4 linked regions of the Arabidopsis thaliana genome follow. The protein of the gene in region 1 interacts with the protein of each later gene in a pairwise test. Each region holds a gene or a part of one and is shown on either strand. Other genes may lie near its edges. The genes, in order: bZIP6, AT2G18090, AT3G50650 and MIF2.

Region 1 (4,717 bases):
TCTTTGGATAAATTTGTTGTACTTATCATTGTGGTTTAAGTTGATTTATGATTTATAAAAGGTTGTATACATACATATGTTATAACGAAATTGTGAGGACATATTTTTAAGATCTACTAAAAAGTTACTTTTAATTTCTTTGGAGAATGTTGTTTTTGTTGGATTTGAAAGACTTATAGACTCAACCCAGAGATTTTAGTGAATGGTGAACCAAAATCTGACCAAGAGTTTTCTTCGAGTGAGAACCATGTGTGTGTATTTATTCAGTTTAGTTTACATAGGATCTTTCAATTAGAGAAAAATTATTTATATAAAATTATTTTATCTAGGTTGGAAGACCAATTTTAAACCAAATAATAAAGTTATTAACATTTTCAGTGCCACTTTTATATTTTCTTTATTTTAGCGAAGATTTTGCGTCAATGTACGATTTTAAAATAAAGATGGACATCTCTAATTCATCAAAATGACACAAGAAAAAATATTTAGCATTAGAGCATGAAAATCAAATCAAATCATGAACTGATGATATCATTTATTTCAGTCTTTCTTATTTTTTGTTTTATTTTTGCCTATTAGCTAGCCTAATGCCAGTTTTATCTCCCTACATCCAAATTCGAGCCCACGCAAGTTTCTGAACAAGATTTACACGATTTGATATTTCAATAACAAATTGGGCTAGACAATAGTAAATCTTGATGCGTTAAAAAATACGTAGAATCACCTACTTATATTCTATAATAGCAACAATATATATATTTAATAAAAGAGAAGTTGTGATTATTAAAACTAAAAAGATAATGTGGGAAGCATTTGAATGATACATCTTTATGCGATTAAAGTTTGATTTAACATGCTACCAAACCATATAATAAAAGTTTTCTAAATATATTTCTGCTTTACTACTTTTGAAGATTTGGCATGTGGCCGTTGCTATAGTTTTTCTCTTCTTTATTATCTTCTTATTTCGAATAAACTAACTAACCGAAAATTTAGAGCACAAAAATGTATTTAAAAATCATTAATTTGTTGTTGGACGTATTATTCATTGATAAGATTATTTTTTCTTTTATTTATTTGTTAGATAAATAAGATTCTCTTTCGTTCTTAAATAGCTTTTCGTTAAACATAAATATTTTGTTTAATTCCAATTAATTTTGAAATTACTTTATCACGATTGATAAAAAACACACAAAAAATAACATATTGAGAAAATATATCAGTATTCGGTATTTATTTTTAGTTTGGTAGTTACACCAGGTACCAACTAATATATAGATTCTCTAAGTACCTTTCAAATACTAAAATCATATAAACAACTTACTCAAACATTTTGTGGAAAAGAAAAAAACATTTTTGATACGAACCAATATGAAATAAAAAGCTGGATTTAGTTAAAATCAGATAAATTTTGATTGAAATAAAAACCAAAAACGAACGTTGTGATTGAATTTTATGTTAGTTGTTTCATGTCCAACCACTAATTACACCAACTACACATATAAATCAATCGACCAACGACACCATATTCATTTTTTTGAGCCTCAAATTTATTTTATTTATTTGAACTTCTCTCTTTTTCTTTGTTCTGTTGTAAATCTAGATTTGAATACAATGGCGACAAATTAGATGAATGGACAATGCATGTGTTAAATATGGACTGTTTCTTCATCACTAAGCTATAACAAACATTTGGTTTAACAATTTTAATCACTTTTTTATTTTCAGAAAGTGACCTTAAACGAGTCCTATTGGCTATTGGTGTCCCACAAAATATTTTTCTACTTTCATATAAATCATAAAAGTTGGGTCTTGAAAAATAATACCAACCCCACATAGTGCCACATGACTCAAAAGTCGTTATACGTATAAAATACGGTCATACATAGTATTTCAAAAATTACCAAAATACCCTTACCAATTTTCCTTTAAATTCCAGTCTCCTTCAAATCAATGCTTCCCTTTTCTCCTTCTCTTCTCTCTCTTCTCTCTAATTAAACAATTTTAAACCGGTCATTATGATGTCTACTGTACCGGCCTTTACCTTTACTGAACCGGGTTTGGTTAACCAATTATCGGATTTCCAGACCGGATTCACTCCTTGGGAATTGAACTGCTCCGATCTCTTCTCTACAATCCATCTCGAACCGGTCGTACCGAGTCCTTGTTCTGGTGAATCCGATGCCGGTTCTGTCAAAATTAACACCGATTTTAACGGTTTTGACGAATCGTGTATCGGTTCCATCAAAACTAACTCCGGTTCTGATGATTCCAACCTTTTCCACGGCGTACCGAGTCCTCAATCCGACGAATTGGACTCAAAAAACACGAAAATCCGAAGTAACGCCACGAATCATAACCGGAACAAATTGAACCGGTCGGTTTTGCAGGTGACTGACGACCGTAAACGCAAACGGATGGAATCAAACCGAGAATCAGCGAAGCGGTCGAGGATGCGTAAACAAAGACACATTGATAATTTAAAAGACGAAGCAAATCGTCTCGGTTTAGAAAACCGGGAACTCGCAAACCGGCTTCGAATTGTTTTGTACAACATCGCATTAATGTGTACGGACAACAATCAGCTTTTGTCGGAACAAGAGATTCTCAGACGGAGATTCTTGGAGATGAGGCAGATTTTGATTTTCAGACAGCTTCAGCTGAATCCATCATTGATCATCAATCATCATCATATGATTTGAAAGAAAAAAAAATAGAAAAAAAAAAGTTTAGAACGGAAAAAAAAAATTAGATAAAAGCGAAGTATTTTTATTTCTGTGTCTCTTTTGATCACTCTTATGTGTAAATGAGAATATGAGTGTTACTTTAGATGATGGACTTCGTTTTTTTTTTGCTGTTGTTTCGTACTTGGGCCTCTCTAATCATATTTATCAAGGCCCATTAGTGAGTGGGCTAAAAGATATAAGCCTAATCAACTACTCTTGTTGACGACTACCACCCTATCATGTATTTAAAACCTTCTGCATCAAGTTGGAGTCGTCGGCTTTGAGGGTTGGAATGAAACCTCTACGTCAACCAGAGTCTTTCACAGACTTCCCAATTCCCATGTTCAGCTTGTTTCCTCTTTGATTCCTTCTTATTCCTCAAGTAGACAGACCGCAAGATTCTTCCTACAAGCCTTTTTTTTATCAAGTACGTAGACGGAATTAAGTATAGTTAGAAAAATATATGCAAATTTGAATAACGTATTATTTGTTTAAAATATATGCAAAACTATTAACCATTAACCATTAACCATTAACCATTTTGGGAAAAGATTGTTAATGATCTAACACTAAATTTATCATATGAAAGCAACAAGGTTATGTACTCCAAACTATATCTAATACTGTACTCTTGAGTCTTGAAGCATCTTGCATCTAGTGAAGATATTTATTCGGTAAGAATTGTCGTGTCTAGTGCAAGTGGAAGTGTCTGGATCGTCCCACACATGCCACGTGTTAGAATAAAATCTCCAAAAATTACACAAAAAAATCCAAATTAAAAACGTTATGGACCATCCATACATTGAGAGATTGGTCCTCCTCCACTCTTTATAATCAATTTCATTTTTTCTTGAAGAAAAACAAAAACAGGAATAAGTGAAAGGTAGGGTTAGAGAGAGAAGAGCAAAAAGTAGTTACAGGGACCCAAAAGTGGAGAAACAGAACCCAAAAAAAAAAAAAAAAAAACTAAAGTTGGAGACAGTTGTTTTGAAGAAGTGTTCTATGTCCAATCCACAAACAATGTTGCCTCTTGTCTGCAACTAGGAAACCTCTCGTCAAAATCTCTCAAGGATCACAAATTTTGTGACACTAACACTTGGTTTTAATTTTGTGGTTAGTGAAAAAAGTAAAAATTTGTATATTTTTCAGTTTTAGAACATTGTGTACATAGACTTCTTAAAACCAGGGATTTAGCTCAACGGCTATAAGAGGAACAATAAAATCAAGAATTTGATGATTGAGAACAAATAAGAGGAAAAACAAAGAACAAAGATTATGAAGAAAAAAACACACATCTCTCCTTTAGTTTCTTCTTGCTTTATATAGAAAGAAAACAGCAACAGAAACAACAATGCATCAAGTAAGAAAAACCAGAAACAGAGAAAAACAGAGTGTTTTTGTTTTCGCAATTGTCCTTAGTTTTTTTTTTTCAGTTTCACAGAGAAGGAGCAGTAGCAGAAGTATTCATCAGCGTGGTCGGGCCAAGCGGATCTTTTCCATCACCGTTCTTATTGTTGTTATCGCCAATGATGGTGCTGCTTGCCGAGCTGCTGTTAGAAAGAGAACCAAATGTCGACTTTTGCAAGACGCCTGTTGGAGAGGAACCAAACTTGGGACTATTGGTCGTGCTGTTTAGTACCTCGCCGAGTGGACCTCCCATGGAGTTGTTATTACCCCAGGAGATTGGTATCCAGTTATTCGTCTTTTTCCCGGGGTCAAGAAACTCGGTGTTGACGCCTAATCCCATGTGGATCGCGGGGTCAAACTCACGCGATAACCTTAAAGGTGAGAGTGCAAGTTTATCTTGAACAGGGGAAGATGGAGCCATAGGGATTGACATTGAGAGCTGAGTCCAATCCGATTTCAGCTCTTCGGGCCAAGAATCGACATTGTTGTGATTCCCCGCGTGCTTGGCTTGGTTGCCGAAGTCAAGATACGATCCAAAGCCTTTGGAAGAGGTTGCATACGAGGCTTGTTTATGCGACGGATTA
Region 2 (6,276 bases), 1.9 Mb from region 1:
CTATAATTTGATTTCAGCTCACTACATATAATATTTAAACGTGACATGTTCATCTTTTTTCGTCGTCGATCGACATATCAACTATAAGATTAGTCGGTTGTACGTATAAATCTTGACCTTTTACCATGGATTTGTCCTATAAAAGCTTACTAGAGACTAGAGACCAGAACGCATTAATATTATTAGGTCTATCTTCTATCACTTCATAGTGTTTCTTTAACACTCATGTTTTGCAAGTGTCGTTTTGTACTATTGGAAAAGATTATTGTTATAAAAAAAAAAATGAAACAAAACTCTAAAAAATCAGTTAATCTTAGTTATAAAACATTATCCTGCTAGAAATCATTGCAACTTTAATAAAGTATTGAGTCTTGAATCGTTATGTCCACTTCGTTTATTTTATATAAAAGTTTGTCAACTAATTAATAGCTGATTTTTTTTTTCTTTTAAGAGAAAGAAGATCTCGAAATGAGAATTAAAGATAAGATATATGGTTAGGTAGCGAGTAGAAGACCAAAGCAAGAAACTACGACCACGACATCTTGCACATAAGAAAAAAAAAAAGTAGTTCAATTTCATTTTCGCTTTGGTCCACTTTATTATTTAACAAAAAATAATATCTAATAAATTACATTAATATAACAGTCCGTGTTAGACTAAGACACGAAGCCTCCCCCACTAAATCGACGCAAATAAAAATAAACAAATGGTGGGGTTAAGAGTTTAATTCGAGCTGTGGAATTTTTTTATAAATATACAAAAATAATAATATTTAAAATAATATATATTACGATAACAAATTTTTATGTCAATCAATTATATTTTAAGAATCTTCTAAAATCAAATATTATTGAACTAATAATTTGAATAATAATTTTAATTCCACTATTATTGAAAATATTCATATCATTAGTTTTTAAGGGTGTATAGTGAAAAAATTCCTCAATTTCAAATATGTTAATACAAATTTCCCTTTTTAAAAATTATCATGAAATTGGACAAACTATATTTATATTGAAAAAGATATATAAACTTATACAACACAAATTGTAAACAAAAATAACATGATGTTCTTCAATAAAATTATAAATCATCAAACCTAAACTCTAAAATTGTCAAAGTAAAAAACCTAAATTGACGAATTCTAATTTATTATAGCGAAATTCTCTGATGTTTGTATGATGTCGAAGTTGATTATGAGAGATTTTGTAAAATTTTGTGTTTTAATTTTAACCATAGTTTATCTAATTTTTACGACAATGTAGAAAGACAGGATTAAGATATTTGAAAAATTGAAGTTTTTTTTTATAAAATATATAATTGAATAATTTCTTATAGAATTTTAGAAAAAAATTTTAGATAAAATTAAAAAACACAAATGTAATTCTTTTATGTAGAATTTGGGGAACCAGACTACAACAAATCATAAATTTCTCTAAATTTACCTAAAATCATATTAAAAATTAATAAATCATTATGAATCTTAAATTACTTAAAATATAAATTTGAAAATACTCCTCTAACTCAGAGATCAATTTTTTCTAATGCCTCGTGATTTTTTTGCATCTTGTAGCTTAGTCACCTATATATATTTTTAGTGGTAACAAGATTCTCTGTTAAAAAAATAATAAAAATTAAAAATAATAATAGTTTATTTTATGGGAAAAGACGCGAGTGGCTCCCACCAGCCTCAACTTTGCCCACGTGGAACCAGCCATATGCGCGGCGTTTAGACAACAAAAAAAAAGCGTGTTGTTTCTTTCTCTCTCTAGAAAGTCAAAAAAAGGAGACAGACAACCAAACACTGCCTTGTCACATCTCTCTCTCTCTTGCTTTTGGCGAGTAACGAGTAAGTCCATTTTCCATGTGCCCACTGTGTCTTCTCTCCTTACACGCCACCATCTCCTCCACCTCCTCCTCCCTCCCTTCTCCAATTCCCAATTCTCCTCCAAACCCTAGGGTTAGGGTTTCCACGATTGCTTCACCTTCCCTTCTTTTTTTAAAACCTCAGATCTTCCGCTTCCTCGTTCTTGTCTTTTTGTTGAGCTGAGAAGCAAAAAAAAAGTGTTCTTTGGCTTCACGAGGAGCCAACAACGAATCGATGCCGGAAATCGATCTTATGAGAGTCGATCATTGTGTTTCCGATGTTAAATTAGATGATTCTTCTTCTTCTCCTCCGGGATTCTTCGATGGTGGTGGTGTTCCGTTAGATTCGGATGTGAAGTTAGACGAAGAAGATTCCGATTCTTTGAAGAAGAGAGGTAGACGTGGTCGTCCGCCGAGAATTTTAGCTAAAGCTTCTTCGCCTCCGATTTCGAGGAAGAGAAGAGAAGATGAAGATGTTTGCTTTGTTTGCTTCGATGGTGGTAGTCTTGTTCTCTGCGATCGTAGGTTAGTGAAGTTTTGAGCTTAGACAAGTTACTCTCCCAGCTCCATTACATTCCTACTTGTAAAAATAGAAACTTTTACTTGTGACTGATGATGATTCTTTCTTAATTTGTCAGGGGATGTCCAAAGGCTTATCACCCAGCTTGTGTTAAGCGTACTGAAGCATTCTTCAGATCGAGATCTAAATGGAATTGTGGTAAGTTGTTCAATTTTTATCTGTTTTCTCTTCTTTGAGATGGTTCATAGTGATGAGGATGGTTTTTTGGTTTCAGGTTGGCACATATGTACTACTTGTCAAAAGGATTCGTTCTACATGTGTTATACTTGTCCGTATTCAGTTTGTAAGAGGTGTGTTAGAAGCTCAGAGTATGTAGTTGTAAGGGAGAACAAAGGATTCTGTGGAATTTGTATGAAGACTATAATGCTTATTGAGAATGCAGCTGAAGCTAACAAAGAAAAGGTATGAGAATCCTGTCTACATTTTGTTACTTTCTCTTACTCGCAGTACTACAAGGTTATTTGTGGAACTTGAGGTCTGTTCTTGTAATGTCGCTTTGTTTTTTTAATGTGGATTCTTTCTTCTAGCTAAATGTATTACATGTACATTTTCTAGGTTCAGGTTGATTTTGATGATCAAGGCAGCTGGGAGTATCTTTTTAAGATTTACTGGGTTTCTCTTAAAGAAAAGCTAGGTTTATCGTTAGATGATCTTACCAAAGCAAAAAATCCATGGAAATCTTCTTCTTCTACTGCCGCTAAGCGAAGAACTACTAGTCGGGTTCATGAAAAGGATGATGGAAATTCTCCTGGGGTTATGAAAATACGTCGTGCTAAAGTAAGGAAAATGGATGCTGTTTCTGTGAGTAATTTGGGTCCTTCTTTGGATTCAAACTGTTCTTTGGGTGACAGACTTCCACAATTGACTAGTGCTGCTACTTGGGCAACCAATGAGCTTTTGGACTTTGTGGGGTATATGAAAAACGGTGATATTTCTGTCTTATCAAAGTATGATGTCCAAACTCTCGTGCTAGAGTATGTGAGACGGAATAATCTACAAAACTCTCCTCAGAATTCTGAAATAATGTGTGACTCCAAGCTTATGAGATTGTTTGGAAAGGAGCGAGTGGACAACTTGGAAATGTTAAAGCTTCTTGATTCTCACTTCATCGATCAAGTTAGGTCTCCAGTCACAGATAATTCAGCCGGAGGAGTCACTGAAACTATGTCTTACCAGGTTAATGCGGGCAGAAGCTGTGATAGGTTAAATACATCTGAACAGCATCAAGAAGGGGAATCACAGCAATTGAACGGGCACAGTATTCAAGTTAGACCTTCCAGTTCTGATAGCAGAAACCATGCAGTTGTAAAACCTGACACAAGTGCCACTCTGTCCAATAAGCCAATTGATGGTTTGGATACAAATATGGTATGGTTATATGGAGATCCAGATGGGAAGATTCATGGACCATTTTCGTTATATAACCTGCGACAATGGAATTCAAGCGGGCATTTCCCACCAGAGCTGAGAATATGGAGGTTGGGTGAACAGCAACACAGCTCCATACTTTTGACTGACGCATTAAATGGGCAGTTCCATAAAACAGGGTTATTACAGAATCATTCTATCCCCAAGCAGGAAGTGACAGCTACTATAGCTAACGATCAAAACAGGTCTGTGGCTGTTCCTAAAATAGAGAGTAGAATACTTGACTTCAGCCCCAACTCAGTGTGCACTGACCAGAGTGTTATTTCTAGCAGTAACAGTGTCATCACAAGGAGCTCGGATGTGAGTAACAAAAGCGGAAACAATTGTAGCCACGCCGTGCCATTGGATTTTTCTCTTTCTAATGAAAGGGATACTGTGGGTTTTATCTCTCTCTGGGACAAAAGAAAAGTTGAAAGTTCTTTGCTTGTACAAAGCCCAATAAGCTGTTCACTCTCGCTGGCTACATTACCTAGAAACTCAAACTGCTCTCTGCCACCACATGAAAGATGGAGTGCTGGTCAGACAGATGGAAACAGTGCAGCAACGACTGCTTGCAATCAAAACGGTAGTCTTAGCGGCTCAGCTGAGAAACAAGTCACGGCTACAGTCCAGTCATGTGGACAGAACTGGAATGCTGCAACTCCAAGCAGTGCTTCAAATGTGTGGGATTCGAACTCGGGTTTGACGTCTTTCCCAGACAATCAAGAAATAGACTTTTTAGATCTCTTTAGTCCAACTTTCAAATTCAACTTTGCATCTACTACCACTGATTGGCAACCCATTGTGGCTGGACCTGACGAATGCGACGAATCAGTCTCAGATCTTTTGGCAGAAGTGGAAGCCATGGAGTCCCAAAAACGTCTTCCTTCTCCAACTTCGACATTCCGTGGTCCTGAAGAATTATTAATCCGGCACTCAATAAACGATAGCTTCAGTCCCGCAGAAGGACATAGCCCAGCACTAGATGTAAGCAAAGGTGACTCCATGAGCTCCACAAACGATCTTCAAATGCATTCACGATCTAACAGCACCGTGCATTTTTAGTCGTGGGCTCGGGTTCACATAGAGAGAAATCATAACCTGGGGCACAGGTTACCATAGATCATCCAATGTCCTAGATTCGTCTGATCGATGGTGGACTATGCCCTCTTTCTTCTCTTTTTTTTTGCAGGATTATTACAGAACATAAATAAATGGCAGAATCATCAGCAAAAATGAAAAAAAACGAGTGGTGCATATGTAGAAGATGTTTCTTCGCGGTATTTTTGACTGCACCCATTGTTTTCTTCAGTATTTAGGTTTTGTAACGTTGTCCTGTGTTAAGATTTGCACAGACATACCCAACTTCTGTATCTTTTTTTTTTACATTGTTTGTACTTAGGAACAAGTATAAAAATGGGAAGAAATTGTTGTCCATGGATGTAATCAAAACATTTGTAGGGATCATATCATCTTATTATTCTATATATATGATAATGATAGTGTAACGTTTCATTCTTTTTGTTTTGAATGTTTCAAATCTATTTATATCATGACAAGTGTAGGCTCCAGTTTATTCTACTTGTTTTTGGAAAATGAGACGAACTCTATTGATCGTTTCTGGATTTGGAAACTTTTTGTTGTTTCTTCGATTTCGTTTTTGTTGATCTGAGTTGATGGTGGAAGCTACGTCAAATTTGACGCCGTCGCAGAGATACGCGGCAAGCGCTTTGTTTGCAATCGCGCTTAACCAAGCGCAGATCAGCCAGTCAAAGCCATTGGGAATCCCGGCCACCGGAAGTACCGGAGAGCCAATCAGCAGCGACAGTGATCCTATCTCCGATGAGGCGGATCTCTGGGTCCACGAAGTTTCCGGCCTCCTCCGTCCTGTTCTCAGGTGATCTTGAAATCATCTGGAATAGTCATGTTCATATGCGTCTCTGTGTGTGTAATGTATACATTTTGAGCTGTCTCTGTAATTTGCTTTCAGATGTCTTCAGATTGATTCATCAGCTTGGCATGGCCTTGAAGAGATAGCTGCTTCTACTCAGGCTAAGGATCACATCGGTGCGGTATGATTAATTTCTCTCCGTATTTTGAAATTTCGTTGTGAATGTTGAGGAGCTCTTCTTTATTGGATGTTACTTTTGGTTTATTGTAGTTTATCAAGTTACTCTCAGAGGATGTGAGTGATGATGATGATGATTCTAGTGAAATGGTGGAGAAAGAGACCGCCTTAGCTAAAGCTGCTGATGCTATGGATCAAAACATTCGAAGCAGCTCTCTATCTGTGGAATCTAAGATGGAGAAACATGTGGAATTCGAAAACGAATGCCGCGACAAGTATTCTGTTCCCGAGGCACAGTCTGGTGCTGAGGTTAAGGAAACGGAGAGCCACGGGGAGGGTGAAATTAGAGATGGAG
Region 3 (4,803 bases), on another chromosome or scaffold:
CAAAGGTGTTAGTTTCCACCAATACTTTAGTTATTTGTAAATGAAACGATTTACTTTTAATTTTATGATGTATGTGAAGTTTAGAAGTTTCTAACTCAAAATCAATTAGTTATAAATGGATTGATCTATATATTACTTTATAGTCTATATCATTTTCGATTTCTAATTCAAAAGCACTTAAAATGAGTGGATTAGATCATTTTTTTTTTAATTTTTATTTCAGGTATCATCACACTTATAGATGTTGGATTCCTAACCATGATTTTCTAAAAAATGAAAAATCAAGCTGGCAAATTGTAAGCAATTAGCTGTGAAGAGTCAAGACTTGGTTGGGTTATTTGCAAAATACTTCTATGTATTGTTTTTGTTTGTGGCTAATATAAATAAAGGAATGGGACAGAGATTAGGCCTGTTTATTTTGGGCCAAGCATAAACAGAGTGGGCTTTTATCTTCGTTAGGGAAGTAAAATTTACTATCAGACTCACAGACAGAGTCAGAGTAGTGGCTGAGAGATATAGGAAATGGGGACCAAAAGACCACTGAAGAAGAAATTCGAGAGTTGACGTCATAGTGGCACGTTTGAAGTTCGAACAAAGAGAAACAAGACTGACACAGAAAGATTGAAATACTTGTCAGTGCGCCTTCGTATTTTTGGCTTTTACTTCACTGACAAATAATTATGCTCCTATTTTATTATTCAGTGAATGGTACAGAAAACATTGGTATATAATTTTCATGAAGTAAACAAAACTATATTAGGCAAGAAAAAGTGGAGACAAAATGATGAAAAGGGAGAAGAAATGGTGTGTTAGTGAAAGATCTTAGTGCAATTCAAATTTCAGTCTCTTTTATGGGACCATAATACTCTCATTTCAAAATCAAACTTCATCACCTCCTTTCCTCAATTTCAGGGGTTAATTCTAGTGTTTTTTTCATTCACATGAATTTGGTTTAGCTTCTTTCGTTTATACCAAAGAAATCTAGTCAAATGTTACATACAATATATATTACAAATGAACATAAACGACAAACCATCATCACTCCAAGCACTAGATAAAAAAGAGTAAGAGAATAGGCTAGAGACTAATTAAACATCCAAATCTAACCCCAAACAATTCAATTCTAAAAGCTAACTCAAAATACTAGATTAACTTATCGGACCAAGTAGTCAACGCCAAGAGGAAACGGTGAGGAGAGGCACATTGTTCCAAGCCAAGGAGATGAAACCTGGCTCCGATTCAACAAGTGAATACAATGTACTATAATTGTAGTTCCATAGTAGCAGCTTCGCTTGGCTAACCGCGTAATTACTCGGTTTAACCGGCTCAAATCCAGCTTTCTCCATCAACACTCTCCATTGTTCTTTCTCCTCCATTAACCCAAACCGGGTTCCCGGTTTATTATTATCATCATCTGATCGGACCAAATCCATAATCCTCCTACCGAACAACACTCTCTCCACTCTCAGCCTTTCTTTCGAATCTCGATCCAAATTCGGTTCAAGCGATTCAAAAACCGCGGAATAAAACCGGAGAGAGTTCTTAACCCGGTTAGCAAATTCAACCCGGTTTAAACTGACTTCGTATTCTCCAAGCGTCACAATCCTCGGGTTTAACGATCTAGCTAACCGGAGCGCCGTACCAACAGTCGTCGCTGTTTCATCTAGAAGCTTATAAAGCTCAAGCATAAAATTCACAACCAAAACCTCATCCGGGTCAACCCGAAAACTTGACCCGTTTAGTAATTGAATCGGAGTCAGAACCGGATAAAACTCGAAATTGAGATCCAAAATCGCCGCGAAATCACGGAGACGGTTTCCCGTAGCGATCAGAGACGGTCCCGGTGAGTCTCCTAGAGACGGAGCGGGTATACCCGAAATCCGGATCCGGGTGGGTTTACCAGAAGAACGGGTCGCTAAAGCTTGTAACAGAGCAGACCATTGAATACCTTGAAAAATCCCGAAATCGACTATGTGAATGTTGTTTGATTGATTCGTAGCTTCGAGAATTGCTTGATTCGCTGTTAAATGAGCGAACTTTGAATATGGACATGCGTCGTTTAAGGTTTTGTATGAGAGAATGAAATCTTCTAGGGATGACGACGACGATGACGACGGAGACTCTGTTTCTTTATGAGACAGAGCTTCTGCGAAGTAATACCCGACTCGTTGTATCGGGTCGCCTGATTCGGACACGGATTCTTTGATCCGAATTAGTGTGTCCGGTTTAGTTTCCGGTTTACGTGCATAATCGTGGATAGCTTTAAAAATCGGCTGGTTTAGATCAAAATCCGGCTGCGGCGGGGGAGGAGGAGGATGTTGTGGTGATGGCGGAGATGGAGACCATATAGCGGTGGAAGCTGGTGGCGGAGGGAGTTGTTGACTCGCTGAGTCATCTTTGTTGACTCGGTTGAGATATGAAGGAGCACTGAGTCGACTCGGGAATGAGACGAATGGATCATGGCCGTAGATTGGGAAGTCTGGATTGGTTTGTGACGCATCTCCACCGTTGATCAAACTCTCCATCCACTCGTCGGAGTCAAACTCCTCGGAAGCGACGGCTGCGTTTTGATGATGCTCCAGGTGTGGAAAGTGAAAACCTGGGTCGTTGGTTACTTGAAACGGGTCGGAGAAACCCGAACCGGGAAGAGTAAACCCGAAGGATGGATTGGGCCAGGGGTTGGGTTCTTGTTCTTGTTCTTCTTGTTGTTGATGTTGTGATTGTTGTTGCTGCTTCTGTTTGATGAGTTGTTGTGCTATAGCCATTAAGTTTCCGCTGTCGGTGCACATATACGCCATTCTCCGACTCACTTTCGCCGGCGATGAAGGCGTTTTTTTGTCTGTTATTTGGTGGTGATTGAGTAAGGCCCAGAGAGAGAGAGGGATATGAATGAAACCGGAGAGATTTTAGTAGGAAGAAAAAAGTAAGAAAGTGAGTATTTTCATTTTGATTTATCATTTTCTTTTTTTTTGTCATCCGATTTATCATTTTCGAGTACTGTATTTTTAATCAATTACCACTTTAGTTTAAAAGTACAAAATTACGTTATTAACTGCAAGAAATGAAGAAACTATAAAACCAACAACAACAACAAAAAATGAAGAAACTAACTAACATAGTTTACTAAAAAACTCAGTTTTGTATTTAATTATTTTCAAGAATTTAATAATAGAAATGTAATTTATCAAAATATCAATTGAATAATTTCTATATCTCATGAATTTGTAGTTTCGTATAATCTTACAAATTTATTCAGAAACCTTTTGACCAAAAAATAAAAAATACATAGGTTTTTTTTTGTTAAATAATTATTACCACTCTGTTAATATGGGTAAAAAAAAGAGTTGACGTTATGAAAAAAAAGAGAGAGTAAAACGATATCTCACTTATGGGACCCACAGACACGATGACGTCATGTATCGGCAGTTACGTATCGAAGAGTGTGACCTCATCTCCACCGTCTAGAATCAGATCAATGGCTTTGGCTGAAATGGTGAATGTGACACGTCGACAACTGTCTTCTGCTACTTGTCACCTGCATGTCGCCTGCAACTTTTCTGTCTTTTTTCATTTTAACTAACAGTATTATAAAGGTAAAAAGATTGATGTAAGAAAAGTAAAAAGAATTAGGTTATTATCTTCTGCTTTCAAGCCGCAAAGGTCAAGGTTTTTCAAAGCTGTTTCTTATCAACTAAAAGGGTCGTTAAATTGGACTTTGGTTAACAAATTTCAGTGACTTCATTGGTTTAGTTTCAGTTACTTTTGTAAAAAAACCTTTCGACAAGTTAAGCTAACATCTTGAATATGACTTGAGCAAGCAAAAATTAAACAATAGACATGTTTTATTTGTATACGCATGTCTTTTTTATCTCAACGTTAGTGTTGTGGAGGACGGCTTGTGGGTCCGTAAGTAGGCCCATATACAATGGAGCAAAAGCGATTTGTGGCGGGCTCTACTAGTATCTGTTGTTGGTGGACGAACTTTGACGAAGAAAATGTAGTAGCCATTAGCCAAAAGCTAAAAATTACACAAAAATACCAAAAAAAAAACACAAGCAAAGAAGAAACAAGAAAAGAGTCCAAAGAGGATTATAGAATTTAAAAGTCTTTCAATAACAAACCAAGTTTTATGAATTATCATTCATACACGACGCATAGTTCGAGAATTTGCTTATTTGAGGTTTGAGTGTGGAAGCTCTTTGTGACTTTGCAATTTCTAAAAACCTAAAGCGAATGAAATAGAAAAGAGCAATAGCGAACAAAAAGCACATGGGAACGACACTTGACTCTTTGAGACATCACTCTTTTCATTTCATCGTTGTATCCGCGTCAAAAGGCCTACTTCTCCACTACTTATAACTTAAATATCTAAATTACATTACTAAACATGGTATATGGTCCCTGGCCCAAGTCTACTTTTGATTTTCACTTTTGACATTTTTTACTACAAAGTGCCATGGACTGTTCTAAATTGGTAATGATTTCAACAAGGAGAATGAAGAAGATGATATTTTTGAAAAGGACTTGTCTTTGAAAATGGCAATCCCACTTTAGTGTTTAACCATTGCACCTATCTGCAAGTGGACTTGGAGAAAATAGATAGAGAGAGAGAGAGAATGAGTGGTGTATGAAAAGGACATGAGTAAGAATGAAAGGGTTTGATTTGTCTTTTCTTTCTATCCAAGTCATCGGTGGGGTTTCTTATGTATGAACAAAGAGTGGCATTGAGTCATCCCCAAGAAAGTCTCTCTATATATTTACCATTTTTGTCACATTCTTTGCTTTTTTTTTTAAATACTAATT
Region 4 (3,592 bases), on another chromosome or scaffold:
ATTAGATTTGTGGGCCTCCGCCTCCCAATTAAATTCAAATTTATTTGCCTATCTTTTATCCTCTGAAATAAAATTTGAAAAATCTCTCTTAAAGCTAAAAGGTTATAGAATATTTTAATATATACTATTTTTAATTAAAAGCTGGGAAGGCATATATCCCTGAAAATATTGGTTCTCATCATAGCATAATTAAGAAATCTGAGCTTAAATAATCTAATCGGTCTCGAGTTAACATGCCCTTCACATAAATCTGAGCTTTATGCACTTCACATAAAGCTAAATATTTTAAGATAAATCATGGAAAATAGTGTGAGACTTAACTCCACCATTTATATTTTTTAAAAATAAAGCTATAGGAGTGGTCTCAAAGGGATCAATTTAAACCTTTTTTCATCGCCTCCCAAAAAAAATATTTACTACAATCATTAGTGATTTATTTATACTAATATATACATATATATATATATATAATTAATTAAATTAGTTATTGAGATAATCAATAAATGGGTTACTATATTCAGCTACCTTATCACAAGCGAAGAACCTTCCATATATGTTAAGGAACAATCAATCTCATTCATTCATTTATCAGTAAATACACATATTGATTTTGTAACAAATTCCTTTCACAATACACTTAACAATTGTCTTGAGTGGACGACATTGAATTGAAACACGAGTACACCACACATGCTTCGTCAGCTTCGACAAAATAATCAAAATAGATCAAAATACAATAACATGACCCAACCAGAATACAAATCAAACAATATAATACATGAAAAACAACAATAATCTTAATATTTCACTTCAGAAGCCTAACCTTTTCTGAACATTCTCAAACCCCAAAAGCATCCAATTATTATAAATCTTTCAATGCTTCCACCACCTTCAATCTATAAATCTCTTATAGTTTCTTCTTAAATTCACAAAGAAACACAAGCCTTTCATATTAAAGAAGAAAAAAAAGCAAATAAAATATTTTCAGTTTCATCATCTGTATATGTAACACACAAACACACTCATAGCTAGCTCTAGATTTTTCTTATCTAATTTCCAGTAGAAGGAGGTGAATTACAGTCGCAAACAACCTCGGTTTCTATTTCTCTCCGATGGAAACTGCGATGGCAGCCACAGGCGGCGCACGTTAGCGCTGCCACGGTACCTTCCTCTCCTCGGCTTGCCATGAACTCACGGCAGCCGTCAACAGCGTAACCTCCCACCGCCGCAGCGTGGTTCTTCTGACATTCTCCGTACCTCACAGTTCTCACTGTCAGAGACGAAGCCGTCGACGAGCTTCTAGAAGGTTCCTCTGGCGAGGCTCTCCTCAACACCACCTGACGCTTCCTCATGCTTTCTCACTTCAATTCTCGTCTCAGCTCTTTCTTCTTCTTGACTTTTTTTTATGAAATCTAAACTTGTAATAATGTATATATATTAAAGAGGAAGAGAAAAATGTATAATAAAGTTTTTGTTCTTTTACTTTAATTTCTACGGCTCGAAATAGTTAGGGAGTGAAAGATCAAAACAATTACAAGAGGACCTCGGTTGTTAACCCTAACCCTAGATGTGATATTTATAGCATTTCTGATAGCAATCGACAACCAAACCTTAGATATTTTTCTTGCAACTGCATATATATATATATATATATATGTGTGTGTGTGTAGATGTACATGTCATGGTATAGATTGATGCATCATCACAACCAATCAGACCTACTAAGCTAATCTACCAGAATTTTGTTTTTGATGGGTATATCATATATGTATATCTGTCTTTTGTAATTAAATGACCACAACTATGCATTGAATTATAATTACAAGTTTTGTTTTCTTGTTACCAACCTAAATATGGTGGATGTTTTCTTTTTGGCTCATGTTATACAAAATTCAGATTATGTTTAAAGTATCGTAATTTTTGTTTTTGGAATACTAAGACACTTTAATATTGCAATAATGCGTACTAGTACTTGTCTCATCCGGTTAGAAGAAATTGAATAAGTTTATGCTGAATCGAAATTGGAATCTACTGATCTCCAGTTAAGAAAGAGATTATATTTGTCATCGTTCTGATTTTTGATCCGAATGGACGGACCAAAATGTCATAACTCCAGAGATACAAAAACAAAACATTCACGAGACATGGAGCCACCACTTTGTGAGTTAGGCACCCGTCTTTAGTTGATAATATCACCCTTATACATTGTATTTGGATCTTCCAAACTTCTGCTAGATTCCACTTTCGCAGAATACGTACTCTTACATTCCAACAAATATATATTGTGCGCTAACTAGTAACCATAACCATAAGCCATAGAATAAAATGAAGTGGATGAAGAATTACAACCTGCAACAGTAAATATATTACGACAAAAATTAAATTATGTGTGGAAGTTTGTGGATGCAACTTTTGTTCGATTTATTTTGCGAGAAAACCCTAAAATGATGAGAAAGCTTTTCTTTAAGACCAAACAAAGTGATTGGTTTTAAAAGGAAGGAAACAGCTAAGCTTGTCTTTTTAAGACCTAATATGTACTGTGGTGGCCCCCTTTAACATTCATCCTCTTTAATCCTCTTTTTATTTCCTTCTTTCATTCTATTTTATTTCATAATTAGACAGGTGGTTACGAAAATTATTTATACGTATCATAAAGAATCGAACTTGGTATCGAGATCGAATATATATGCATAGACCAAAAAGTGATTATGTCGGCTATGTGATATCTTGACCCACTTCTATAGTATACCCGAGGAATTGTACGGATTTAAATAAAAAAAATCAATTTTCGTTGTAATCTAAGTACCAATCAATATATTTAAGATTGTATGATGAATAGTCATGAACAAAAATAGAAGTGTGTATAAATGTATATACATTTGGACCTAACAACGTGGGACTGATAAGTTGGGCTACCAAACCTATTTTGTACATCATGAGGACAACGCAATCCTTCACGATCGCTTGCTCCTTTGCAGTTACGTATCGATTTTTTTGAATTACACATGCATACATTCATTCGTTTTTCGGTTAGACATCAAATTTTCTTATTCATGTGTTCCGTCAATCCTTTGATATTTTTATAAGAAATACATTGATATTTTCTCCTTCCAAATTAGATATAAACATAAATCATGAGATGGTATATAACAATAATTGCATAACCAAACGTTGTTGGTACTTTATAATATATATTTAAAAAAAAAAAAAAACTGTTGTAGTTTCATTGTTCCACACTAAACGTTGTTTCATGAGATTAACATCGGCTGAAAAAAAAAAAAAGTTTCTCTCCCAGGCACGAGTTTCGAGGTAACTAAATGAAGCAAATGTTTTCAAAAAAACGGGATCTTACCCACTTTTTTTAGCTATTCTTGGAAACTCCCACTTCTCCCTCGCCGACATCCCCCTCATCTCCCGTTATTCCGGCGTCTCATCTCCGTCCTTTTGCTCACCTATCTATGATGATGAAGGCGTACTTCTCAAAACTGTGTGACATTGTCTCCTCATCAAAATCACCGGAGTATCCATCTCCCTGCTCCCCCTTTGCTGCAGCCGGCTCTGGTTTCACTGACTCCTGCACTTGGTAACCTCT

The links.
Region 2: the proteins of bZIP6 (region 1) and AT2G18090 interact in a two-hybrid assay, tested with the Arabidopsis thaliana proteins (one large-scale study listed by BioGRID).
Region 3: the proteins of bZIP6 (region 1) and AT3G50650 interact in a two-hybrid assay, tested with the Arabidopsis thaliana proteins (one large-scale study listed by BioGRID).
Region 4: the proteins of bZIP6 (region 1) and MIF2 interact in a two-hybrid assay, tested with the Arabidopsis thaliana proteins (one large-scale study listed by BioGRID).

The regions. Positions count from the first base shown.
Region 1 is NC_003071.7:9,730,586-9,735,302, reverse strand, and holds bZIP6 (basic leucine-zipper 6), read left to right. Parts: upstream 1-1,902; 5' UTR 1,903-2,018; coding exon 2,019-2,702; 3' UTR 2,703-2,727; exon of another isoform or gene 2,728-3,011; intron 3,012-3,668; 3' UTR 3,669-4,024; downstream 4,025-4,717. Other genes in the region: GRF1 (growth-regulating factor 1), read right to left, coding at 4,162-4,717.
Region 2 is NC_003071.7:7,862,400-7,868,675, forward strand, and holds AT2G18090 (PHD finger family protein / SWIB complex BAF60b domain-containing protein / GYF domain-containing protein), read left to right. Parts: upstream 1-1,794; 5' UTR 1,795-2,101; coding exon 2,102-2,391; intron 2,392-2,504; coding exon 2,505-2,584; intron 2,585-2,660; coding exon 2,661-2,848; intron 2,849-3,001; coding exon 3,002-4,918; 3' UTR 4,919-5,421; downstream 5,422-6,276. Other genes in the region: AT2G18100 (transmembrane/coiled-coil protein (DUF726)), read left to right, coding at 5,530-5,750, 5,844-5,925, 6,015-6,276.
Region 3 is NC_003074.8:18,805,303-18,810,105, forward strand, and holds AT3G50650 (GRAS family transcription factor), read right to left. Parts: upstream 2,942-4,803; 5' UTR 2,799-2,941; coding exon 1,170-2,798; 3' UTR 837-1,169; downstream 1-836. UniProt on the Arabidopsis thaliana protein: Probable transcription factor involved in plant development. Involved in environmental abiotic stress resistance. May increase the expression of stress-responsive genes. Binds DNA in vitro.
Region 4 is NC_003074.8:10,922,774-10,926,365, reverse strand, and holds MIF2 (mini zinc finger 2), read right to left. Parts: upstream 1,659-3,592; 5' UTR 1,353-1,658; coding exon 1,050-1,352; 3' UTR 553-1,049; downstream 1-552. UniProt on the Arabidopsis thaliana protein: Inhibits zinc finger homeodomain (ZHD) transcription factors by interacting with them to prevent both their nuclear localization and their DNA-binding properties.